Nothobranchius furzeri: one gene and its partner. The protein of the gene in region 1 interacts with the protein of each later gene in a pairwise test. Links are inferred from orthologs where the notes say so. Each region holds a gene or a part of one and is shown in the gene's direction. Other genes may lie near its edges.

The links.
Region 2: the proteins of sorbs3 (region 1) and suppressor of cytokine signaling 7 interact in binary tests that used the Homo sapiens proteins (3 or more experiments, as listed by UniProt). The link is inferred for Nothobranchius furzeri from reciprocal best matches to the Homo sapiens genes SORBS3 and SOCS7.

What each region holds. Positions count from the first base shown.
Region 1 is NC_091757.1:39,854,707-39,866,751, forward strand, and holds part of sorbs3 (vinexin), read left to right. Parts: intron 1-1,509; 5' UTR 1,510-1,568; coding exon 1,569-1,580; intron 1,581-2,110; coding exon 2,111-2,302; intron 2,303-2,460; coding exon 2,461-2,533; intron 2,534-2,789; coding exon 2,790-2,923; intron 2,924-3,017; coding exon 3,018-3,081; intron 3,082-3,601; coding exon 3,602-3,634; intron 3,635-3,713; coding exon 3,714-3,804; intron 3,805-5,361; coding exon 5,362-5,470; intron 5,471-7,584; coding exon 7,585-7,638; intron 7,639-7,779; coding exon 7,780-7,887; intron 7,888-8,511; coding exon 8,512-8,561; intron 8,562-8,793; coding exon 8,794-8,853; intron 8,854-9,583; coding exon 9,584-9,654; intron 9,655-10,071; coding exon 10,072-10,133; intron 10,134-10,230; coding exon 10,231-10,277; intron 10,278-10,942; coding exon 10,943-11,057; intron 11,058-11,142; coding exon 11,143-11,268; intron 11,269-12,045. UniProt on the Homo sapiens protein: Vinexin alpha isoform promotes up-regulation of actin stress fiber formation. Vinexin beta isoform plays a role in cell spreading and enhances the activation of JNK/SAPK in response to EGF stimulation by using its third SH3 domain.
Region 2 is NC_091745.1:29,711,300-29,723,444, reverse strand, and holds the start of suppressor of cytokine signaling 7, read left to right. Parts: upstream 1-6,663; 5' UTR 6,664-6,884; coding exon 6,885-8,527; intron 8,528-9,820; coding exon 9,821-9,885; intron 9,886-10,327; coding exon 10,328-10,432; intron 10,433-12,070; coding exon 12,071-12,145. Other genes in the region: kpnb1 (importin subunit beta-1), read left to right, coding at 672-819, 913-984, 1,064-1,208, 1,283-1,365, 1,515-1,622, 1,923-2,066, 2,131-2,236, 2,536-2,650 and 2 more. UniProt on the Homo sapiens protein: Substrate-recognition component of a cullin-5-RING E3 ubiquitin-protein ligase complex (ECS complex, also named CRL5 complex), which mediates the ubiquitination and subsequent proteasomal degradation of target proteins, such as DAB1 and IRS1.

The sequences.
Region 1 (12,045 bases):
CATGGAAAAATCATTAGTGCAAACTGTACTGGCCACCGCTCAGCCTGGAGTCGTAATCTGGCCCACATTTTGGTCATTGCTTTCTCACAAAGCAACAAATGTAAAGCTTTCATTGGAAGCAAGTTCCACAATTAATCAGAGTATTTTACCAGAAAAGTAATGTTTTTTTTTGTTGGTGTAACACAGACTGGGAGTCAGATGGGTCTGGAGCTGCTGATGAGGTGGGTTTAGCTGCTGTGTGTGCAGCCTCCTGCTCTGTGCAGCAAACTGAGCCTCAGGAAGGAAGTCCAACTCCAGTAGTTGGTTTTCCTCCATTCTCACTACAAAAAGTAAATAAATAAACAAACAAATAAACAAATAAATAAATAAGCAGAATTCTAGTTTGTTGCAATGGTATAAGGTTTAAGAACTGACAACTCACAAAGTTGCGCTGAAACATTTAACTGCCTTGTTTTACTGGACTGACATGAAATATAGTCACAAATGTATGAAATTGATATTTTAGAGGCCAAGTTTACAGAAAAACTATTTTTTTACGGTTTAACATGCAGGCTAAACATGAAAATAGTCTTCTTCCCCTATTTCCTGCATTAGCCACCAATGGGAAACAGACGGGGAAACGTTCGGGTCAGAAAAAGCTGGTTAGATCCACGTTAAACTGAAAATAAGCATTCATAGACTCACCCATCTAAGCTCGCAACAGGGAAGGCTGTTGTTGATTTAGCATCAGGAGAGAGCAGAGCACCTCTTGGCTAGTAGAAGCTAATCGTTAGCATTAGCAACTGCACAACGCGTCAGGACTTGTCAGAGTTGTGTTATTAGTGGAGATAAAAGATCAACGTTGCAGAGCGAATGGACTCAGTGGTGGAGTCACGTTGCTGTTAGCCAATCAGAGGCGAGATGTCCAAATCCTGCTGTGTTCTGCTCACCTCTCTTTAAGCTAACTTCCTGCAACACAAGCGCCAGAGCTTTTCTTCTACACAGAGATCAACATTCATTCATTCATACTGGATACTACTAACAATGTGTTGGAAAAAAAGTGAACTTGGTCTTCAAAGTTTTTACAACTGAAAATACTTCACGTTTTTACTGTGTATTTGCCTGACTTGTTCAGCAAAAAACAGGTCCCCCCCCCCCTCAACACACCTTTGATGCTGAAACGGGAAGTCTTGTCTGAAGTGAAATCGATAGGGATCTAATCTCTGCCTTCTGTAGACGACATTCTCCATCATCCAACCCAGATTAGAGAGTTGTTATTGGGAGTAAGAAGGCGGGAGTGTGAGTCACTCGGGTGGGTTTCTCCACCGCTGCAGTATGACGCTGACTTTTCCTCGATGGGATAACGGTTGGATGGGGTAATGGAACAGATGTTTCAGCCTGGGGGAAAAGCTGGTGTTAATCCCAAACAATGGCCACAACAGTTAAAGACCTGCACATATCGAAACTGTAATGTTATTTTCACATTTTCTTTAAACTGATTTTTACATGTCAACAAATGTGTCTTTGCAGATACTCGATGTTGGGTGCAAGAGTCTGATATCTACCATAGGAGGAAAATAAAGGATCACATGCAGACTCAGGTAAAACCGTGCAAACCGGCAATGTTAAACAAAATAAAAGACAAGCACATGCAGCTTCTGTCACAAAAACAAGCCTCTTGTGCAAGAAACAGGGAGATTTCCCCTGACCTCTGTGACCACAGAGAACCTAAGCACCTGATTCAGGAGTTGGGTTAAGTTTGTCATCAGATTGACTGACTTATGCCTCCCCAGCTCCACCTCATGTCTTGTAAACAGGAGGATTATGAGCTCATAAACAGTCCACTCAGCACCTCTGCACCTTGAACGAGGCCTTTCTGTAGCTGTGGTAGATAACGAGGGTGGAAACCCGCGTCCCACTGCTCCTGCTTTAAATAAGTTAGAGGGCCTTTTCATCACAAGCTCCCCCCACAGAGGCCAGTTGTTCTCCAGAGAATAGCAGGGCAGCTAACAAGTTCACATGACCTTTCACAGAGCGCCTTGTTTACTCGGAGCCCACAGGAGGACATGACAGCAGCAAAGTTCACCCATTGTTTTTGTTCATCCATATTTCTCATTTCCTCTGTGTGAAGCAGCAGAGTGCAGAAGTGTTCGGCCATACAAATGGCTCCCAGGCTGCTTCATCCGGGGACCCGGAAGCTCCTTCAACCCCATACATCCTGAATTCTCCAGATCTGACTCATGAAGTGGTCATCTCTCCCGGACTCCCAACTCCTCCTCTGAGTCCGTTTCGCTCGGCGAGGCTGCCATCTGGAGCTGTCAGGGTATGTGACATCCTTCAGACTGGTTTAGTGCAAAGAATTAGGAAAACAACTGCTCCTCCCTGTGGAAAGATAATGCATCACGTCTCCTACAAACAACTCATGCAGTCCAAAGTTTAGCTGGAAAACAGGAGTTATCGGGATGTTTCTGTTTACTCAAGGGCTCGGATCTGAACGGCGGAGGACCATCTACTCTTAGCTTTGGGTCATACTACGGACCTTCACAGTCACAAGGTACAAACACTAATGTTTTAATCTGTAATTTAAATTTAGAGAAACAATTAGAAGGATGATCTCAGGAACCCAGATGTGAGTTTGGAAAAGTCTACAAAAAGCAAAATGTCCAGAATTTGTGCGTTTTATTTTATATTAGTCAAACATCTGAAATAAATGTTAAAGCTGGAATGACATGAACCGTAAAAGGCGTGTAAAAACTTCAAACCTGTCTCATTCATGTTGTCATCTAAAATCAGTCACACATGTCTCTCAGTTGGGCTGTCTAATGGAGGCCAGAGCTCTTCCACGTTACCACGCAGCTGGACGCCCAGCGGGGAGGAGAGGCTCATTAAGTTCTCGGGTATCGGACCAGTGGATGAGAGCGGGATGCCCATCGCCTCCAGATCTGTGAGCCACAAATGCATCTTCTCCTTCTGCTCTTGTTTCAGCTCACCTGAATCCACAAATTTACTTTCTTTATGTGCCTGTTTTCTTACACCAGAGTGTGAACAAGCCCAGAGACTGGTACAGGAGCATGTTCAGACAGATTCACAAGAAGCCACAAGGTAAGGATGCTCCTCCTCCTCCTTCTCTGCTGCTGCAGAGATGATCCTCCTGCTTCAATACATTTACAGCAAGAAATACATCTAATATTGCAATCAAGTTTCTAAAATGTTGATTTTCATCCAGAGCTTGATTTACATATGGGCATCTGGTGGGGGGTTAGTAAGAATGAGAGGTGAGGGGTGGGGTTGTCCGTCAGATCACCTCTATTAAAACTCTGTGACAGAGAGTGCGGGGTGTTTGAGTGGTCCGTCCAATCACCTTCATTGTAATGGCAGGGGTGGGGGCTGGACCATTTTTCGGGCTCCTCCTGGGTGTATCAGTTGAGAACTTCCGGGGAGCCCTTCGCCCTTTCGGGGGAGCCAGGCTCCCCTAGCTTGCCCATAATTCAAACCCTGCTTTCATCATCTTTTCACACGTATCCTCAGAGCTCAGTGTAAAATATTATTTGGTTTCAGAAAAAGCATGTAACTAAATGACATAAAACATCTAAAAATTATCTTTTTGTTTTCTCCAAACCAGAGCTGGAAGATTCGGACTGGTGTTCAGGAGAACGTGGGTGATTCCGCCACATTCGGCCCCATTCCGCCTTGGTTAGTCTGATCATAGTTAACGTTTAATCTGGTATGACCAGCAGGGCTCCCGTCATCTGCTGACAAAGTAGAAAGTAATGAAGCCGACAAGAATCTCTTCAGACTGACACCTTATGGGTCTCTGCCAGATTGGTGAGTGTACGCAGAGTTCATCTAACACATTCAGTTTCATTTTCTGAGAAAAAAAAGATTTAGGCAGATTAACATCACAGATAAATAATAGCCTCTTAGATAAAACAAAAACCTCAGCGATAAGAGTAAAATGAAAACGATGTAGTAAACCTGGTATTTGTCAGAATTACTTGTTATGATATTTTATTCACCTTACCAACAAGTTTACTAGATTTCAGTTAAACGTCTGAAACAGACGAAGCTGCAGCAGGTTGTACTCTGCATCTTGTTGGAAGTCTCGTTCCCATGGTAACAAGCAAAAGGAGGACAAGTTGGCTGAAGAAGGAGGATAAAAAAAATTACCAAGTTGTTGACGACAGACATAGTCAGGATTTTTAAGGCTCAGCCAACGTTTGGTCTCTGTCAGTAAACACAATATTTCTAAATGCATTATGGATGTTTTTTAGTTCCCTGATGATCCATAAAGTCTGCAAATGTTCAGACTTCGGACTGATATGTGCTCAACTGTTATGATAGCTACCGTTGCTAATTAGCACACAACTAAGCTAGCCTGTCCCTGCTAGAATCATACTTTTTGAGGAAGCATTAAACAAAGATTTCAAAACTTTAAGTAATTTTTTACTACATTTTTTATCATTTAAAACAATTCTGAACCAAACAGAAGTTGCGTTTAGCTACTTTGCTGCACACAGATTCAGCTTCCCTTTACCTCAAATCCCCAAACCAGAAACCTTTAAATCAAAGTGAAAACATTCAAGCATTCATCAGCCTTTGAGTTATTGTTTCTTATGTTGCACCGTCTGTGACTGTAACTGCTCAGTGTTTAACTTAGCCTTTTTAAAATGTAATTCTGTTTGTGTATTATAAAGTGGATTTTAAAATTTACTGTTGTATGTTGTCACTGTCTGTGTATGAAATGTGCTGTTTAAATTAAGCTGCCTCACGTAATTTAACTGCACACGCATAAAAAAGAAAAATAAAATTTTAGTAGTGAACTGTTAGTGGTGCTGGCATGTTTTTCTTTTATTTTTTATTAAGAAGTAAAATTAAATGAAAAGAAGTCATTATTTACCAGGATATAGCTTGACTTGTAGAAATACCAGCAGCACTTTACAATAAATGTCCCTTCATTAACATTACTTAGTGAGTGAGTTAAGTATTAATAAAGAAAGGACACCTATATTAATGCTACCGTTATTGTTAACTATTGCGTTTCCTTTAAGTTAACGCAAAGGGACGGGGATGGTCTGCTTAATAATGCATAATAATATGTTTAAGCAGTTGTTAAAACTTTTTAAAATAGTTTATTAATGCTTAATAATGCACAAAGTAACATTAATGAAGCAACCCTTTTTGTAAAGTGTTACCAAAAAAACCAACCAAAACTTTGCCCATGTGCAGCGGAGAGTAAACGTGTAGGACGGACAAGTTTGGATCTGTTGTTACAGCACTCACAATGAAGCCGAAACTAAGTTGTGTGTGTGTGTGTGTGTGTGTGTGTGTGTGTGTGTGTGTGTGTGTGTGTGTGTGTGTGTGTGTTGGGGTGTTACCTTTCAGGAGCGAGGATGTAGATAAGCTGTCAGACCCCGGAAAGCAACAACCTCAGCCGAGGAGCATTTTCGACTTTGAGCCCGGAAAGAGCCCCACCTCAGAAACTCACAGCCAGGTACGACCTCACACGCAGTCACACGGTTTAAAAATAGACTCTAAGTCCAAAATAAAGTTCTTTTAATCTTTAAATTTCCTCAGCATTGTTGTTGGGACTTATAGGTGCAATTCTCAGTATGGTTTGTTGTCTCAGTCGGTCACGTCTTCTAGGATTATCGTCTGAGCCCTTGTTTTTCATCTTCTCGTGCAACTTATGCAGTACCTGGTAAAGACAGACAATGTTCACCAGAGGGTTCTAAACTCCAGGTGAGCTCATCCCTGTTAGTCATCTCAACAATGATGCATTCAGATTTGCAGAGAAAAAGGGACTAATCTATTGTGGTTTGTACAGAATCAGTTTTTGATGATTTCTCCCATGGTTTTGGCTTTCTGCTGTGATTTATTAGTTATTTTAGTGTTTGTGGGTTTTAATACACCCTGTGAGTTTTCGGGTTGTTTGGGAACACTGCTCCAGATCTGTGGTGCATACTGTGTCTCATCTGAAGAAGAAAATAAATCTTTGTTTCCACTCCCCCATGGGAGCTGATGTGTCTTGTGATTTGTATTATGGTGTTAACCTCTTGTGGTGTTTAATGGCTCACAGCACGGGGACTTCTTTCATTTAGTCTTTGTGGAATTGGCTGAAGCCGTATCCCCTGCATTTAGAAAAGCAGCTCACAGACCATATCAGGTGTTGTGCTGCTTCTCTGTGACATCGCTGTTTGTGCTTGCAGACGGGACGATGAAGGTTTCTGGCATTCAGAGAGACACGTTCAGCCAAGGTTCTACTAAAAAATGAAGCAGTCGTCTGCGGTTCTCACCAACAGGGCCTTTTAAAGTAATGTTCGATCGAATCAGCGGCGAGTGGTGTCAAATATGTGCAGAGAGGGAGTGAACGAGTTATTTCAGCGCTTGTTAAACAGAAAAAAATGTGCTGGTTTATACCTCAGCAGTGTTGAGTCCAAAATGTGCTTTGGCAGGCTATAGATGTTGTACTTTGACCTCTGCATTTTGGAAACTCTTATTCTGAAAGATTATTTAACCCTCTGCAGGCAGGCGTTGCAGATTTGCAACGTTAAAACCTACCTACCTGGCTACTCCACATACATGAGCATTTTTAAACTCAGAAGTACTCCTGAAGGACTTAGTTGTTCGTCCTTTTATCAAGACTTTTTTTGAGCCTGAGAGGGTAAAAAACAGCTTTTGTATGGAAACTGATTTAATTCATGTGTTTTATACCAAACACTCAGAAAATTTTAAGTTTTCACTTAAAACAAAGTCTGTTTGTGGAGTAATTTCATAACTTTTGCTCAACTTGGTAAAATTTCTGTGCCAAAAAGTTTCACGCCTAAACACCGACCTGTTGTGACACCAGAAGAAAATATACGGGGAAACACTCAGATCAGAAAAAGTCATTCAGATCTACGTCAAATAGCTGTCATGGACCCAGCCACCTGGGCTCACAACTGGGAAAGGCTGTTGTTGATTTTCACATCCAGGAGAGAGCAGAGCTCACCTCAGCTAGTGAAGCTAATTGTTAGCATTAGCAACTCCTTCATGTTTGAGTTATTTATGGAGATAAAACATCAGCGTTACAGCGCAAACTGAGTCAATGGTAGAGTTGTGTTGCTGTTAGCCAATTAGAGGCCAGATTTCCACATAGCATGAATGATAATGAGTGAAATTCCAAATCGCGTCGGTTTTCAGCCCCCCTTCCCTCCAGCTAACCTTTTACTTCCTAAAACAGGAGCGCAAGAGCTTTTTTCCACAGAGATCGACTAAGGCATGCACTCATAAACCACCTAATAGTTCCGGAGCATGGCCATGTCTGCAGCTCACCGCTCCCCACGGGGATGGGTCAAATGTGGAGGATAATTTTCACCACACCACACCAGTGTGTGTGACATGTGTATGGGACTTTAATTTAATCTTTAATAATACTAAAAACCAATGCAGATTTTTGAAAAACAAAAAAACAAAAACAAAACAAAAAAAAAACACATTATGTCCCGCTTTAAGGCCACAATCAGTTTATTTCTCTTGTTATCTTCTTTTTCCATTTGGTGCAACAACATCACTAATGTTTAGCTCTAAATCTGCTTCAACTGTGTTCTCTTTTTTCTCTTCTTTTAGACTTTTTTATCCCCAAAGACACAACCCGAGAAACCCAAGTCCCCTTCCATTGAGGTAAGCATCCACAACACAATTTCACGTAGAATTATTTTGTTGACTTTATGAATATTAAAAGTAAACGAGGGCCACTTAAGCTCCAGAACCCCTGCTCTAGCTGTGTTTTATTTATTCCAACTCTTTAATTGCGGGAGTCAGGCCAGTCTGGCGTCTGAGCTGAGTCGATTCGAGGCTGAGCTGGACTCGGAGATTCAGGGCCTGGAGAGGACTCTTTCCCAGAAGAAGCAGCGTCAAGGCCGGGGTGAGGTACTGAGCCTCCCTACCGACTCTTTCTGCCAAATCACCCCCTCTATCTCACCAATCTAGCAGAATTCCCACCCACTCCCGTTCCCTACCCTCCCAGTGAAAGCTACGTGTCAATGAGATCCCTTTGCTTGCTAGCTGAGAACGTGAACATTCTTCTCTTTGACTGCCTGAGAATGGCCTGCCTGCCCTGCACTCAGATTGATCTTCTCTCTTAATCGCCCTCCTGACAGTTCCCCACAGCAAATCTAGACCTGGCTGCCAAAAGAGCAAAAGATAAAAACATAGTTTCCTTTAGATCATATACAACCATAGTGCTGCCTGCTCCTCCTCTTCCCTGCTCCACGGGAACTTTCCAACAGCTCTGATGTCATGTTTGATGTTTCTGTGACAGAACCAGCCTCCTAGGGTTAGCATGAAATCACAGACAGCTCAGACAGATCATGAGCCGTGTTGCTGCAAGCTCGAGGAGGATAGGACCCTGGGGATTTCTTTGCTCACTTGGGAGTGGTCAGCAGCACCTCTACTTTGTCTGAGTTGTTGTGAGATTTCCTCTGAAGTATGAGATGCAGAAGGCTGAGTGGTGCTGCAGAGAGCAACGTCCTAAAGGGTTCCCTCTGCTTACAGGAGGCCAGAAACAGGGATCCAGATCCCACTCCAAAGACTCCCAACCACAGGTTAGTTGATCTACACCGTACCATTTCAATGAAGCTATAAAGATCAAGTTATCAGCTTTTCATCACCTTTTAGTCCAATTTTTCTATAATTTATGAGTATTTTAGTTTTAGAGTGAGATAAATACTTGTGTTCTACGCTTCTCTCTTGTGCGTTTGTCTAAAACTGTTTTATGGGAGGTTTACACCATTGTGACAAGCTGATCCTGTTAATGTGATTCATTCTTTTCACTAGAATACAAACAAACGTGCATGAAGCAAGGCTGCAACTGAAACTGCAATCAACTATAGAGAAGTAGATGCTCGATAATCCATAAAGTTTGCATCATTTAAGCATAAAGAAGCTGAAAAATCAGGGTTAAGCCGCCCCCACCCTCCCCAGTCCACTTTCATGTTGCATCGTTGTTTAGTTGAAATCACAGCAGACCTCCTGCTGATTCAGGAATCCAAGTGTTATAGTTGTGTGTTAGATTAATATGTGACTTAGTGTTGGGCAGCTGTCAGGTAAACAAATTAAGTTTCCACTAACTCATTTCTCACCTTGTGTGTAATGCATTCCTGAAGAGTTCATGCTGCTGTTTGCTAAACTGAGCAATTGTTTCCAATCCTGAGGGGATTTCACTAAGAATGTGTAAATTTAAAGCATGTAGCAGCTACGATTCTTCTGTCCGCCTGCCAAACACTGAAAAACAAAAGGAAAGCTGGAATCTGTGGGTTAGGAGATAAAGCTCAACACAGAAACACACCTGTTCCTGGTCATGAATAGAGCTTCATGAAGCTCATTGAAACAAGATTTCCAGTGAAAAAGGATAAAATCTTGTCTGATAATTTGTTTCTTCTCCATTCAAAAATATCAAAACCAGCTGCAAACAGTTGATGTACACTGTAAAGCTGAGGGAAAGTGCCGGATGCATCTATTCCCTGCTGTATTCAGCCTTTTTTTGCTCTTAGAAAGTCCTCCACTGGACCAGAAAACTAATAAAACCTCAAAAGTTAATTTATGTCTATCTTTTTCACATTTTCAGGAATTTGCCAGCATCAAAGCAGCCTGACCTGCATTCTGGTGGCCCATTAATAACATCTGCTCCTGCACATGGTAAGAAAACAACCTCTTTATCTGTTTGGATGTTTTTCTCTGTGTAACTGTCTCCCTTCAGCGACCATCCCACTGATCTAATACGTTTGATAAAAGCATCGAGTAATCTAATATTGTATGACGGTCTCATGGTTTGGCTTTGTTGCTGGTGGTGTCTTCTGCTCTGGTGTTGCCCTCATTAGACCGTTTTCCCTTCTCTATGGAAACAGCTGTAGATGGGTGGGGAGGAAGCTCACAAAAATAGGAAGTGAAACTCGGAAGAACTGATTGAAGATTAACTTCATCCCGTTTCTTTCCCTGGAAATGTAGCATCCCTAGAGCTTTTGAACTTGTTCTGGCTGTAATGGCAACACGCTTAAGAACAAAACGCAGAACAAAAGAGTTCAGTGTTTAGAGCCTTCTTGTTGTGCTCCACAGTAGAACGTCTTCCATCTGCAAATGAAAACATGGAGTTCCCATCAAAGAAAGAAGAGAAAAAGGTACGTCTGAACTAATTCTAGTCACTGGAAAAGCTGCAAAATGTAAAATGAACGTTTTCTGATAGTTGCAGTATGAATGTAAATCTTCCTATTTTAGATGAAAGCTGCAAGAGCCAAGTTTAATTTCCAGGCTCAGTCTCCCAAGTGAGTAGTTCTTCATCAGATTCTTTCAACGTGATAATTTTATAATGATGTGGTAAACCTTAAAGGTACAATAAGTAAGACTCTTACTGTGCAATAATCACTAAACAGTCTAATGTGTCGATCATGTTGGAAGGAAGGTTACATTAAAACAGATTTAATTCTCAGCTTTGTCAGTTTTCCTCCTTTCAAAAAAGCTAAAGAGGGACATAGTCTTTGTTTACAATCGCTGAGCCTGCAGGGTTACAGAGTCTGTGCAGCTGCTCTATGGAAACAATGTTACCCAGTAGCAGGAGCGACCCAGAAGTTGCTTCTTGTGCCCCCAAGAAGCCGCAGCGTCTATTTGGTTTACTCTAATATTGGGTACAGTAGGGTAGTGGCTAATGCTGAGCTAACAATTCTAATGGCTTATAAACTTACAGTGTATGACTCGTCTTCGCTCGTCATCTAGAATCTTCTGGCGTTGAGCCGTAACTGGCAACAGCCATGAAACTCACGATCAGGAGGGAGGAGAGTCACACATTTGTTTTGAAACATGGACTGCAGTACCCACATCTGTCCACAGGATGCCATTCTTACTTCATGTACCTTTAAATCTTACTCCGATGATATTTTAAAAGAAAATCTCAAATCAGGAACTTAGATTGCACGCTTTCTCCTACACTCAGGGAGCTCACACTGCAGAAAGGCGACATTGTTTACATCCACAGGCAGGTCGATGCCAATTGGTTTGAAGGGGAGCACCATGGTAGAGCTGGGATCTTCCCCACTTCTTATGTAGAGGTGAATTATGTCATTTAACGCCAGATCTTATTGAAGTACTTTGTGTTATAAAGGCTACTGAGTTATGGTTTATGTGTATTTTTAGGTTCTGCCTCCGACAGAGAAGCCAACACCCTTAAGGTCTCCCACTCTTCAGGTGCTGGAGTACGGCGAAGCTGTAGCTCTGTACAACTTCAACGCTGACCTACCTGTTGAACTTTCTTTCCGTAAAGTGAGTCGTTCTCTTGTCCGGTCCACACATTGAGCCAAAATGGTGAAGTAGAATAGCTTTTCTGACACCTAGAAGAGTTTAAGAACATTTTCACATTTTTCTTATGTGATCTAATGTTTCTAGTAAGATGTTAACATACATGTTGTGTGCTGTAAGTATGGAGCAGCGTAGATCTAGCCATCTGGACAAAAAGCAAACAGCTGTCTTGGCGTTGTACTGTTCTGTTTGTTAAATCCATCCAACCAGAGGGATCAAAACAACGTGTTGTGCTGATTTTCTCTTGGCAGAAACATGGGAACAGTTTGGAGAGGAGCTAATTGGATGCTGAGAGGAGCGTCCTATTTTGGCACACAGATGACACATTAACATATTCTTTAGAAAAATGTGATTACATTTACCAAGAGCATAAGGTCTTAAATAAGCTGTTTTTTAAACTCCAGGACTTACATCAGAGAAATTCTAATTATAAATCTGAGTATGATTTAAAAGAGATCAACTTTTCCTATTTTTAAATCATTTTATTGAGCCAGTTTGTGCTAGATTGACCTGTAAAAGGATTAAATAAATGTCACTCAGACCCCACCACCACCTGTGGCCAGAATACCGGACTTGCAACTTATCTGGACCACTCCCTGTATGGTCCTACTTTAGTCTTAGTAATGTGGAGCTGGCGTACCTGGCGCTGCAGTCTGCTTCCAGCATGGTTACTGCTTGTTTTAGATCATGAACACAGCTTCTTTGTTTGATTTAGTGATGAGTCGCTCCTGCAGACACTAA
Region 2 (12,145 bases), on another chromosome or scaffold:
AAACAGGCAGATTCCTCCTCTATTTACAAACTCCTGGGGATGCAACAAGTGGGCGCGGTGCGTTGACTACCGGATCTGCCGTCGACGTCATTGATGCTTCACTACAGCTCTGTTTGTTGAGTCGGCTTCTTTGGTGTTACCAGGGGACGCCTCTTCGCGTGCTTTAACAGCTTTGTTGTACTCTACAAAGTGCTTCTGCTTCAAATGATGAAATAGGGTTGTGGTGTTTCCTCCCTTCGCCACGACGGCCCGCCTGCATGTTCTACAAAAACTTGTGCTTTGTTGGGTATCTGACGGGCGGAAACAGAACCAGTTCTACACCACTGAAGTTGCACCTTTTTTAAAAACAAATTCAGTTTCATTCAACGAGCCGCTTTTGCCCTTCTCCTCCGTCGTCGCCATGCTTTTTCCGCCATGTGCGTATGAGAACAAAGGCACTGCGCAAGCACATTTTACCCATTCTATCCTATCACGATATTTCATTATCGTTGCCCAACATTGTACCGGTATTACCGTGAAAGGTATGTCAGCCCTACTCTCTAGGTTTTATTTTGTTAGCTAAAATCACAAACAGCTCTGGATAATGGCTGGAGACGGGGTTCTTGCCCTGCAGCAACTTTCTATTTGTCTATAGTGTTGGTGTGAAGCAGCCGAGTGTTTCTGTATCTCAGGCCAGATGGACATCAGAACAACCTGCGTTCAGCTGCCTATGAGGCTTTGATGGAGATTGTGAAGAACAGTGCTAAGGACTGCTATCCTGCAGTCCAGAAAACCACACTGGTCATTATGGAGCGGCTGCAGCAGGTCCTGCAGATGGAGGTGATGAGTGCTCACTGGAGCGTGGTCATGTTTTTACAGGGGGGGTAAAACGGCTCATTTACTCAGTTTCACAATGTCACTTCCTGTCTGCAGTCTCACATCCAGAGTACCTCGGACAGAATCCAGTTCAACGACCTGCAGTCGCTGCTCTGTGCCACTCTGCAGGTAAGATTATGCATCTGGGCTGTGATTAAATCATGCTTTTATTCTGGTGGTTTGCTTAGTATTTCCTGTTTCCCTGCAGAACGTTCTCCGGAAGGTCCAGCACCAGGACGCACTGCAAATCTCTGATGTGGTGATGGCATCTCTGCTGCGGATGTTTCAGAGCACGGCAGGATCTGGAAGCGTTCAGGAGGACGCTCTCATGGCCGTGTCCACGCTGGTTGAAGGTACAAACCTTTTGTTGCTGTGGTAACTCGAACTACTGGGGTGGTTCTCACGGTCTCCCTGCTGCTTGTTCCAGTCCTGGGCAGCGACTTCCAGAAGTACATGGAAGCCTTCAAGCCTTTCTTGGCTATCGGACTGAAAAACTACGCTGAATACCAGGTAGGGAGGCCCAGTCCTAGGATTTCCTCTGAGCCTTTTTGTGGTACCTCTGGTCATCCTTGTGACAACAAGAACATACTCCTCAACAAGATCAGCAGATGCAAAGTAAATTAGAATTGGTTTTCATGGTTTCTGGTGTGTTGCTGTAGGTGTGTCTGGCTGCGGTGGGTCTGGTGTGTGACCTTTGCAGAGCTCTGCAGACCAACATCCTGCCTTACTGTGACGAGATCATGCAGCTGCTACTGGAGAACCTGGGGGTGAGACAGCCCAACATCTGGATTCTCCTGCGGTGTTGCTGAATCAGAATCATGTCACTGCAAGTTTAATAAACCTAAAACAAAAGCGAAGCTTTATTGTGGAACCTAATTGTACATTTCTTGATGATAAATCAGTAATATAACAATAATCCATCACTGAATTTCATTTAGAACCACCAAGTGGATTTCTAATGGTTTGTGTCTGAAACAGTTTCTGGTGCGACCCAGTCCATGATTTATTTTTGCCCTCTTCATTCACACGCCTCCTAACTCGTCTAACGACTTACTTCTGTGTTTAAGAACGAGAACGTCCACCGGTCAGTCAAGCCTCAGATCCTCTCGGCATTTGGAGACATCGCTTTGGCCATTGGAGGGGAGTTTAAGAAGTACCTGGACATTGTCCTGGACACTCTTCAGCAGGCCTCACAAGCCCAAGTGGACAAGGTAAGCTCAGACTCCCGACACCAGACTGTCCTTTCGACTTCCTGCTCATGTGATGTGGTTTCAGACGGACTACGACATGGTGGACTACCTGAATGAGCTGAGAGAGGGCTGTCTGGAGGCCTACACTGGGATCATCCAGGGCCTGAAGGGGGACCAGGAGAATGTCCACCGTAAGAAACACACCACACCAGTTTAGTGGTTCTGGTCTACGCAAGATGCAGAATGGGGAGTTTTTGTTGAACATGTGCTCCAATCATTCGACGTCTGTTCCTCTTCCTGTTTGAAGTCCAACAGGAGGATTTTATGATGTCGTAGAGAAACCTGGGTCTTTTTCACCTGGAAAGCTTCAGGCTGCAGCCAAAACCAAAACCGCTTTCTGGTTTTGCGGGACCCAACAAACCAACCAGCAGCTAAAAATCAAAGTCACCAACGGCTGCCCCCTTTCTTGTATGTCTGTTTTGTCCTGCAGCTGACGTGATGTTGGTCCAGCCTCGTGTGGAGTTCATTCTCTCCTTCATCCATCACATTGCTGAGGATGAAGATCACTCTGATGGGGTTGTGGCCAACGCTGCTGGACTCATTGGGTAACAAACCAGCTCCACATTTCAATAAAGAACACAGGAAAAAAAACGTTATTTTTATTGTTAATATTTATTATCGGCAGCAGCAGATGGGTCTGACTCTGTACGGGGAAAATGGCATCAGATTCGAAAGGTTAAACCGACAGTAGATCAGTGTGACCTGTTTCAGTTCTGCTTTCAGTACTGAGACCCAGATTGAATAGAAACAAATGTTTTCTCATTAAAGCTATGTTATAGTTGCATTTATTGCATCAGAACCTTTAAAACAAACTAGTCCTTACTGTCACTGTGTTTCTGATCTGCATGTCAGTCCATGTTGGGACAAGTGGGTGGAGCTTAAACTCACTTCTAAATAGAATCGGAGTTGGAATGTTTGGTCAATGAAGAGAAATCATGCACCACGCTGAACGTGTGATGTATAACCCAACCACAGCTTCTGAGACCAGCAGCCAGCTGTAGTCATAATCAGCCTGTCTTTGTTCCCGTGGTAACCAAAAAAATTGTTTGTCTGCAGCGACCTGTGCACGGCGTTTGGTAAAGACGTGATGAAGCTGGTGGAGGTCCGTCCGCTCATCAATGACCTGCTGACAGAAGGACGGCGCTCCAAAACCACGAAGACCAAAACCCTGGCCACCTGGGCCACCAAGGAGCTGCGCAAGCTTAAGAGCCAGGCCTGGTGAGAACAAACCAATACCACACCATGCTTCCTGGAGCGTAGCAGGTGGCTGCATCTGACCCTGGTGTGTGTCTGGTTCCAGATTGTTCCGGTCCAAACACAGAATGACGTGAGATCGATGAACTTTGAGGACAAATGGTTGTCTGGAATGACTTCTTCTGCTGCGCCTGCTGAGTCGGAAGAAATGACGTGATGAAGTGAGATGGATGAATGTGTGTGAGCGCTAGATATGACATCACACCACCTTCAGTTCCAGCTGGCGAACGAACCCCATCCCCTTTACCCCTCTCCTCTTCCTGGACGGCCTGTGGACTGGACTCTTGACGCCCCTTAAAGACTTAAACCCCTCCCTCTAGCCCCTCGTCCTCCCACAACCTCTCGCCGTGTAGCTGGGCCCTCCCATGACATCCTGATGATGTCACTGCCCCACCGCTGCCTCGCTCACACCGGGGGAGAGGGGGAGGAGGGGGGTGATCCTTAAAGACTTTGTGGAATCGGATTAACAAGCGACTTTGTGGACTTCTTCTGTGGAAAACTTTAGATTTTTGTTGCTCTTATTTTTCTTCTTCTGAGCACTAAAATGGCAAAGGAGACGCGACTGAGTGCGAGCGCCTCCACCTGCTCCGTCTCCAGGGATCTGACGCTCTTATCCAGCAGCTGAAACCCTTCAAAGTAAAAGCTCAGTGCTAAGGAGCGAGTGCCAAATGGAAATAGTTTAGCTGAAGCTCTGGAAGCCAGCGCTGTGAGCTGCTTCAGACGGATGTCCCCGCTACACTTGGTTTGGGAACGGGTCACTCACCGTTTTTGCTTGTTTAAAAGATTTCAGAGAATTGAAGACGTTTGTATAAGGTTATATTTTTCCATTACTTAGATGAAAAATAACGCTGAAAACAATAAAATGGTATGAAACATTCCCCGAGCAGTTCTGGTGATTTAGCTCTTGTCTGGACTTCTGGACTCTTTCTGGACTCTTGATTGGAAGCTGAACTCTGGCCACCTCCCACTGTTGGTTCGTGTACTCAACGCCACTAAGAACCATGAATTTTTTATTATTTTTTTTCCTAACATTGCGGCTCATCAGCGCTCCTCGCTGCTGGAACGCTGGGTTCAACTGGTGTGAAATCACAAAGCTGTGAGCACGCTCGGTGCAGTCTGCTTGCCTGAAAGTGAGAGCTTCAAACTTTGGGGGAGAGCTTTTATTTTGTAGAGGTGCAGTAGCTGTAGGGAGGATGCACTTCCTGTGTTATGACCTTGGCAACTCGATAAGAACTGAATTGTGAATCATTAAAAGCCGATCTGCTTTTTATTTCATATTAAACTTTAGTGAATTAATAAAGTCTATATCGTACTGAACCATCTGCTGCTTTTGGATCTAACGGATCTGAGACCAGTTGCTGTTGAGCCAGACTGGAAAACCTCCGAGGTTAAGTGAGCAAAAACAATTTTCTATTGTCAACGATTCTTTTTCTTAATGAACTTTGGAAGAAGAACCAAGACAGCCGTACCTAAATGTTGAGTGGACATGTTAAAATAACATTCCTCAAACCAGTAAATTAGTTTGATAACAAATCTTGGGTCTGAATTCACCTGGGAACCTCAACCCAGACCCATACTCCAGTTCAGTATTTTTAGGGAATGTCATCACTTGTGGCTTTACTTTTGTAAATAAACAGAAGCTCCCATGTTTCTACGTTACTGCATAGTGCTGCAGATTTTTATACCAACATTTCTTTCACTCAAACAGTAACCGGACGCATTTGGTGTTAATTCAGTCTTCTCTGAAAAAAGGTGACCAAATAAGCGAGACACTGGTGTGGTGCCCTTTAGTGTCCGCTTGCAGAAACCGCTGCAACTAAATCTGTTTTCTTCTCTGAAACAATGAGCAATTCATGTTGAGGCTGTTAATTTACTGTTTGTTTTGCTAAGCTTAGTTGATTTGGATGGTTGACGATTGTTGGGACTCCGGAGGTTTAAGGCTCCATTCAGATAAGCCACTTCTTGGTGAATATTCTGAACCTATCTATTCCCCTTGAATCTATCTGAAAATAATTGGTGTGTCAGTTCACTTGGCTCAAAGTTGAGTTCACACACAGCACAGCAAAATAAAATAATTTGTAAACCAGTCATAAATGACCCCCAAAATTATAGAAGCTGATGTAGTTGTATAAAACAATACAAGTCCAGTTTGTTTAGTAAAAATTGTTTTTTAGAATACAAAAATGTTTAGGGCTTGCTTTATCAAAATGGCATTTTATAATTGCACTGTAATAAATTGTAGGCCTGAATAACTTAAAAACAAAAGTTCAACAGCTGCCTTAAAAAGTTGAGTCATGTCAACTTAAATGAACTCTGTCAAGTTGTACAAATTTCATAATAACTATGCTTTGTTTGAATATTATGTTGAGTCTAAACAACAAATCTTATTAGATTACAAAGTGGAAAAATCATTTTGTTAAAAAAGCACACAATTCTACATTATGTTAACTTATAAATTTGAGTTAGACATGTATGGTTGCAAATTAAAAGTTTTTGTTAACTGAACAAATTGATTAATTGTTTAAACTCGTGTTATCAAAACGGCAGCTGTCATGCCAATACAGGCAAACGGTGAAGCAGGAAGCTATCAACACTGAAAAATGCTGGCTAACTCACCCTCATACACAATACAAGGAGCTGAGTTCTGAGCATTTACCGAGAATTACAACTTTACTTAGTGCAGTGGAGGGAAATGGCACAATGATCTTATTCCTACGACCGCCCTCCTTTCAGTGCCAACACAACAAATAACTCCACCTTTTGAACACTAAACAAAGCAAAATCTGAGAACAACACAACCACCCGCAATAAATGTGCCTAAATACCTCAAATTAGAACAAAATAATTAAGAACACAACTACCCACAATGCACCTCACCCACTGCCGCTTTCACAGTGGGCGGGGGCATTTTTTAATCTATAAATTGCAGTTTTAAGTTGACTGAATGCAGTAGAATGAGGAAAATATAATCATTTGTTGAAATAACAAGCAATTTTAAGTTTTCAATATTAAAACATAAAATTGAGTTTAACAATTAAAACTTAACAGGGAGACTAGGTGAAATAGGAAAAAAATTTAAACAACTTTTTGAGGCTCTTTTTACAGTGTACAAACCTTACTATTATTTTTTTTATTTGATAAAATCATTTTTGTTATGATAAAATAATTACAGTAGTAAATGTGAAAATAAAGCCATCTGTACATACCAGTTGATCGCAGCTGATCAGAACTACGGATCTGAGCATCGGTGATCGATTGACTAATCGATTACTGTCGCCGCCTGCGCAGCTCCGCTCCCCGCCCTGCTCTCCATCACATCTCGTTGTCTCACCGGAGGATGGGTCTACTGGAGGCTAACGGCTAACCGAGCGGGCTTCTCATGTCTCTTCTTGTTTTGGTTTCGTCCAGCGGAGCCGTTACCATCCCGAACCGGTCCGGACTCGCCGTGTCTGTGTCCCGGAGCTCCGGCGGGGAGATGCAGGAGCTGTTATGTAAGAGCGGAGCAGCTAACGTTAACCCGCCGCCATGAATGACGCGCAGCAAGAAATGTCTCCGGACTTCGTCCTGATGCGGCTCGTTTCCGCCGCTGAATACGACCGGCTGGACGAACCCGACGACCTGATCCGGTCTGTAGGCGGCGGGTTCGGGCCTGTGAAAGCAGCGCTGGGACACCGTGGTGGCGGGTTTGATCTGGACCCCAGCGGCCCCCCAGCAGGCCTCGGATCCGCATCCCCGCACTACAGCTCGCCTCTCCCCGGAAAAGGTGATCTGGACGGCGGGCTTGTGTTGACGCAGGCCCCGCCAGGTTCTGAGGCGCCGCTGTCCCCGCCACCGGAGGACTTTACTGTCGCGGCACAGCGGTTTGTGGACGGTTCGGGAGGACATGGCTCCAGGGCGCAGCTCATGGTGTTTCAAAACCTGCTGCGGTCCGGAGACCGAATGCTGGAGATCGGACTGGAGCCGCCACCTGCGGGGTACCTCCAGGAGGAGGCAGAGAGACAGAGACAGCAACTAGACCCGGTACCAGGTCCTGGGAACACAACAGCTGGTCCTGGACCTGGTGGAGGAATGGAGCAGAACTCTTCCTGCATCCCGTTAACTGGCGAGACCCTGCAGCCACCACAGCTCCTGCAGTGGCATCCAGTTCTCAGACTGTCCAAAGGGTCCGACGGGCCCCAGACCCCTCAGCAGGTTCCTGGGCTGGACTCTGTGCCCGGCTCGTTCCTGTGCCACAGATATCAGTTGGCTAAGTGGCCTCCGGGCCTGCTGGACCAAGCACTGCGCCTGGGACTACTGGAACCCAGGAAGACCTGCTCATCAGGGGGCGAAGACCCTGTCCTGGTTCTTGCTCAGAGGCTGGGGCAGCTGGGAGAGGTAAGGGAGGGTGTGGGAGGTGGGGGGGAGGACACGGAACCCCCCATCCCTCGCTGTGCCTGCCACAGCATTCTCACATCTGGAGGACTTGGTGAAGACCCAAGTGACACCAGTGATGCCCTGCTGGTTCTGGAGGGACTGGGTTCTGAGGAGGTGGGTGGACTAGGCCAAGGAGAAGGCAGGGAAGGGGAGGAGGCTGGGAAAAGAGGGCAGGTAGAGGGAGTTAGTGGAGGGGGGACACCTGGGGGGGCAGGTCCTGTGTTCTCTAGTGGGACCCTGAGTGGTCTGATGCAACAGGTCCACAGACTTGCTGAGGAGGCGGGGGTCTGCACAGACCAGAACTGCCGCTCTGCTGTCTCACCCCCCATCAACACCACTACCACCTGCCTGTACCCCCTGGTCCAACCACAGACCCCCCCACCTGCTACAGCAGCCCTCAGTGGCCTTCACGTCTCCCCTGACCCAGGTCCCCGCCCGCAGCATCAGCACCAGTCCCGGTCCCAGCCCCAGAGTCGCGCTGCCCCCCCTAAACTTGGTGTGGCCTCCGGGGGAGCTGGGCAGTCTGTCTCACCTCTGGTGGTCCTGGAGGGTGAGAAGACTTCCCGAGGAAAGTCAAGAAAGGGGGAGTCCCTTAAAGTCCGGCTCAGCAAGCTGTTCAGAACCAAGAGCTCCAGTGGGGGGTCGGGGGGACTGCTGGACAAGAGGCCATCACTGGCATCCTCCACCTCGTCTGGGGGAAGCCTGTTGGACGTGTGGGGTTCCACCTGCAGCAACATGGACCAGGACAGCAGCAGGTAAGATCCCTCGGGTGCGGGTCCAGTCTGATAGCTCCGACCTAGTGGATTGATTACTGAAGGTATGCAGGTTCAGTCCAGCTTCATAATAGATGTGTATCAGTCACCATGACAACCACAGCTTACTGGCCCTGAAACTAAACTAAAGTTGGAAAACTTTGACCTAAACTGATTTATAAAAACACCAGACATGTGAAACCATCACTGGGTTCTCAGCATGTTCTAAAGTTCTGTAAACGGTACAAGACACAAGAACTAGAACCCAGAAGCAGTAAGGTCCGTCGTTACTTGGTCCGGAGGAATTCAGAGTATCAAGATCAGCTACTGTTGCTGTGGGAGGGCTGATGCCATTTACGGGTGGGTTATCTGGGGTCCATCATTCCAATACAGGTTCACTAGAGGTCAGAGGTCATCGCTCAGAGAAATGACTAAAGACCCACAAACTCTGAGACTACAGGCCTCAGCTGGTTAAAGGTCATGACAGCTCACCTCATGCTGGCAATGTTTCATCTGAATCAACCTAATACAAAATGGAGAAATTCACCCACAATGCACAGCAGCAAAAACAGCAGATTCCCTCTGCCAAACACGGTGGTGGAGATGGTGTGGTCTGGTTCTGCGGCCCCAGGACTCGGGTCTACTATGAACTCCTCTGGGCACCAAAATATTTGAGAGTCTAATCTGAGAGCATCAGTCTTACAGCTGATGCTTGGACTGAACCGGGTCATGAAACAGAACCATGATCCAAACAGCAGCAGATCTACAACCGAATCTGGGTGCTGTGGTATGACCTTAAGAGAGCTGAGCACAACCAAATATTTGTAAACTCTAATAAGGCTGGGCTAGTACTCCAACAGAACCACATGAGAGGCTCCTGCTGGACCATGGGGTGGACCCAGTTATCTAAAGCTTCTGGGTTCTGGTTAAATATTTGAATGTGTCCTGTCCATGCCTGCTTCTCTCAGATCAGCTCTGATCCGACCCAAACTTCTTCCAGTTCCTGCACAACTGTTTCTACATCTGTTGTCATGGAGACCCACATCCCCTCTGCTCAGCAGAATGAGAAAGAGGAGGTGTTGTCATGGCAACAACATCCTCTCACTCAACAGAGGAAACTTCTGTGTGCTGAGATGTAGCTTGTCTCCATGGCAACAGCTTGGGAGTTTTTTACTGAGTGGCTTAGGGTGGGCTTTGGAGCAGACTCAGGTGTGCATCAGGTGGGCCTGTGATGTTACACACTGGTAGCCATAGAAACGTAAGTTGACACCTTGTTGTTGTTGCTGTTTGTCTCAGCAGGCTGCAGGTGTCACGACCTCACAGTGCCTTCTGCCCGGTGCCGCTCACCCCTGCTTTCACAGGTGAGTCCACGTGCACAGCTGTATGTGTGTGTGCATGTGAGTGTGTATACAAACATAAACATTCACCAGGAGCTGGAGAGCAGAAACCCAGTTCCAACGGACCAGTAAGATCCAGTCATGAAGGTTTCATGTGAGTCCAGCCTGCTTCAGACCCAGAGATGTGGGACTCTGGTTCAGTTCTGGTGCAAGCGTGAAAAGCAGAACGGGTTTCATGTTGAGTTTTAGAGAAATCTATCCCAGATCAGTGATCTGGTACACAAACCCCCAGACAGACTCAGGTCCTCTCCTGTGATGCTGATGAAGATGTTGAGGTCTTCCTCTGAGGTTCTTCTTCTGGTCCTGACTTTGTCCCAGCTCACATCTCCCCCCCCCCCCCCCCCCTTTCACTAACTCTTCCTCCTTCCTCTAACACTCCTCTTCCTCTGTCTCTGGGTGTGTCCAGGTGAGACGGTGTCTCTGGTCGATGTGGACATTTCTCGCAGGGGGGGGGGCTGTCTCCACCCCCCCACGCCCCCTCCCCCACCCAGACGGAGCCTCAGTCTGCTCGGTACTTCCTTTTCTTCACTTTCTGTTCTCCCTTCTGCTTTCTTTGCTTCTGGTTTCATGTCTTCGTTGTCAGGTAGGACTTTAGTTAAACCGGTCCGGTTCTGATCCACCGTGTGAGTTTTGGTGCCAAACGTGTTTCGATGTCTCTGTGATGAAATCTGAGTTGTTTTTAGAGGAATCGTTTGTGTTTTAAGGTGCAGGATGAGACATTTTTTGGACCTTTTTTTGCCTTATTGCTTGAAATTGTTTCACGTACCGATGGCAACCATTCAAATGTTTTGTCGTAAATAAATAATTGTAATTACCTCTGAAACTCACAATCCTGGGAAACCTCCATCCATTAGTCATCAATGTCCTGTGTAGTTAAAGTAACTTCCCAGGCCTCTGCAGCAAAACTAACAATCACACAAGCTTGGAGCGCACTGACTAATCAGTTTGCGTATCCACAACAGAGAGCTGTCACTCCACGAGAATGCGCCCCAGTTCCCAGCATGCATTGCAGGGTGATGCGGACGCCTCTGTAAGCTTAGCACACCAATCCTAGCTTTTAATAAAGGCCGTTCTGTAAACTTCGCTAACTGAAAGAAGAGGGAGAGGAACAGAAAGGGTTTGTCTTTTGTGCATCAAAGCTAAGTGTTAGCGTAGCCTTCAACAATCGTTCAGCCCCGTCTAGCGTTAGCAGGGATGGGCTACACTTGTGTGTGCCGGATTCTTTCTGGTGGGAATCATTTAGCTGTGAATCAGGAGGAACTGTCCTTTATTAGCGCTACCAGGCTGTGTGTGTGCACGTGTGTGGTATGAGGCTGAAGGGAAGCAGGAGGAGGAGCTATAGTCACTCTAATTTCAAAATCTCCTCCTCTCATTTATGATGTCACGCTATGGACTCCTGCTTTAATAAATGATCATGTCCCATCCTCTGGTCGTTCCTCTCCCCTCTGTGTGCACCAATCACACGTTCTCAGCTTGAAGCAGCTGATCTGAAGCTCTTTTAGCTAACTTCACTCATTGAATGGTTTTACAGGTATGCTGGTGCCGTACCTTAGGAGTTAAGCCGAAAAAATGTTAACAACTAAATGAAAGCTTAAAGCTACTTGAAAAGGCTACGGCTACAAGAAAAAGCTGAATTTGAACAATGGCGTCTGCTGAAGAGCTACAAACCGATGCCACATCGGCTGTTTCCTCTTGATAGGTGACATAATGTTGTTTTCATGGCTGTTTGACAGTCTCTGCTGCGTCTGGTATTCTCCTGGATTCTGGAGGTGTGGCTTAGGGGAGGAGCCTGAAAAAGGGGGTTGGACCTTTTGAATTGTGTTTTTTTTTAATGTAGCTTGAACAGCTGTTCTTCCAGGATATCCTCCACATGTAAGTTGTCTGTGCAGGATCAGAAACCACCTGGCAGTCCGACCGGCATCGGTGTGTGTGTGTGTGTGTGTGTGTGTGTGTGCGTGCGTGCGTGCGTGCGTGCGTGCGTGCGTGCAGGGGGGATTTGGTGGAAGTTTTACTTTTGAGCTACTCATGAATCTGCAGATTAATGACGCTGTGGACCAGCTTGAGGTTCAGGTTGGTCTCTGAAGATGGGAACAGGAGCACTTATCTGTCCTCCCCCATCAGGTGTGTTTGTGTCTTTGTGAACCTTCAGATGATTTTGGAGGTCCTCCTCAGCAGCAGGGGTCCTTCACTGAGCGGACCGGAGGCGCCTCAATGCAGTCTCTGC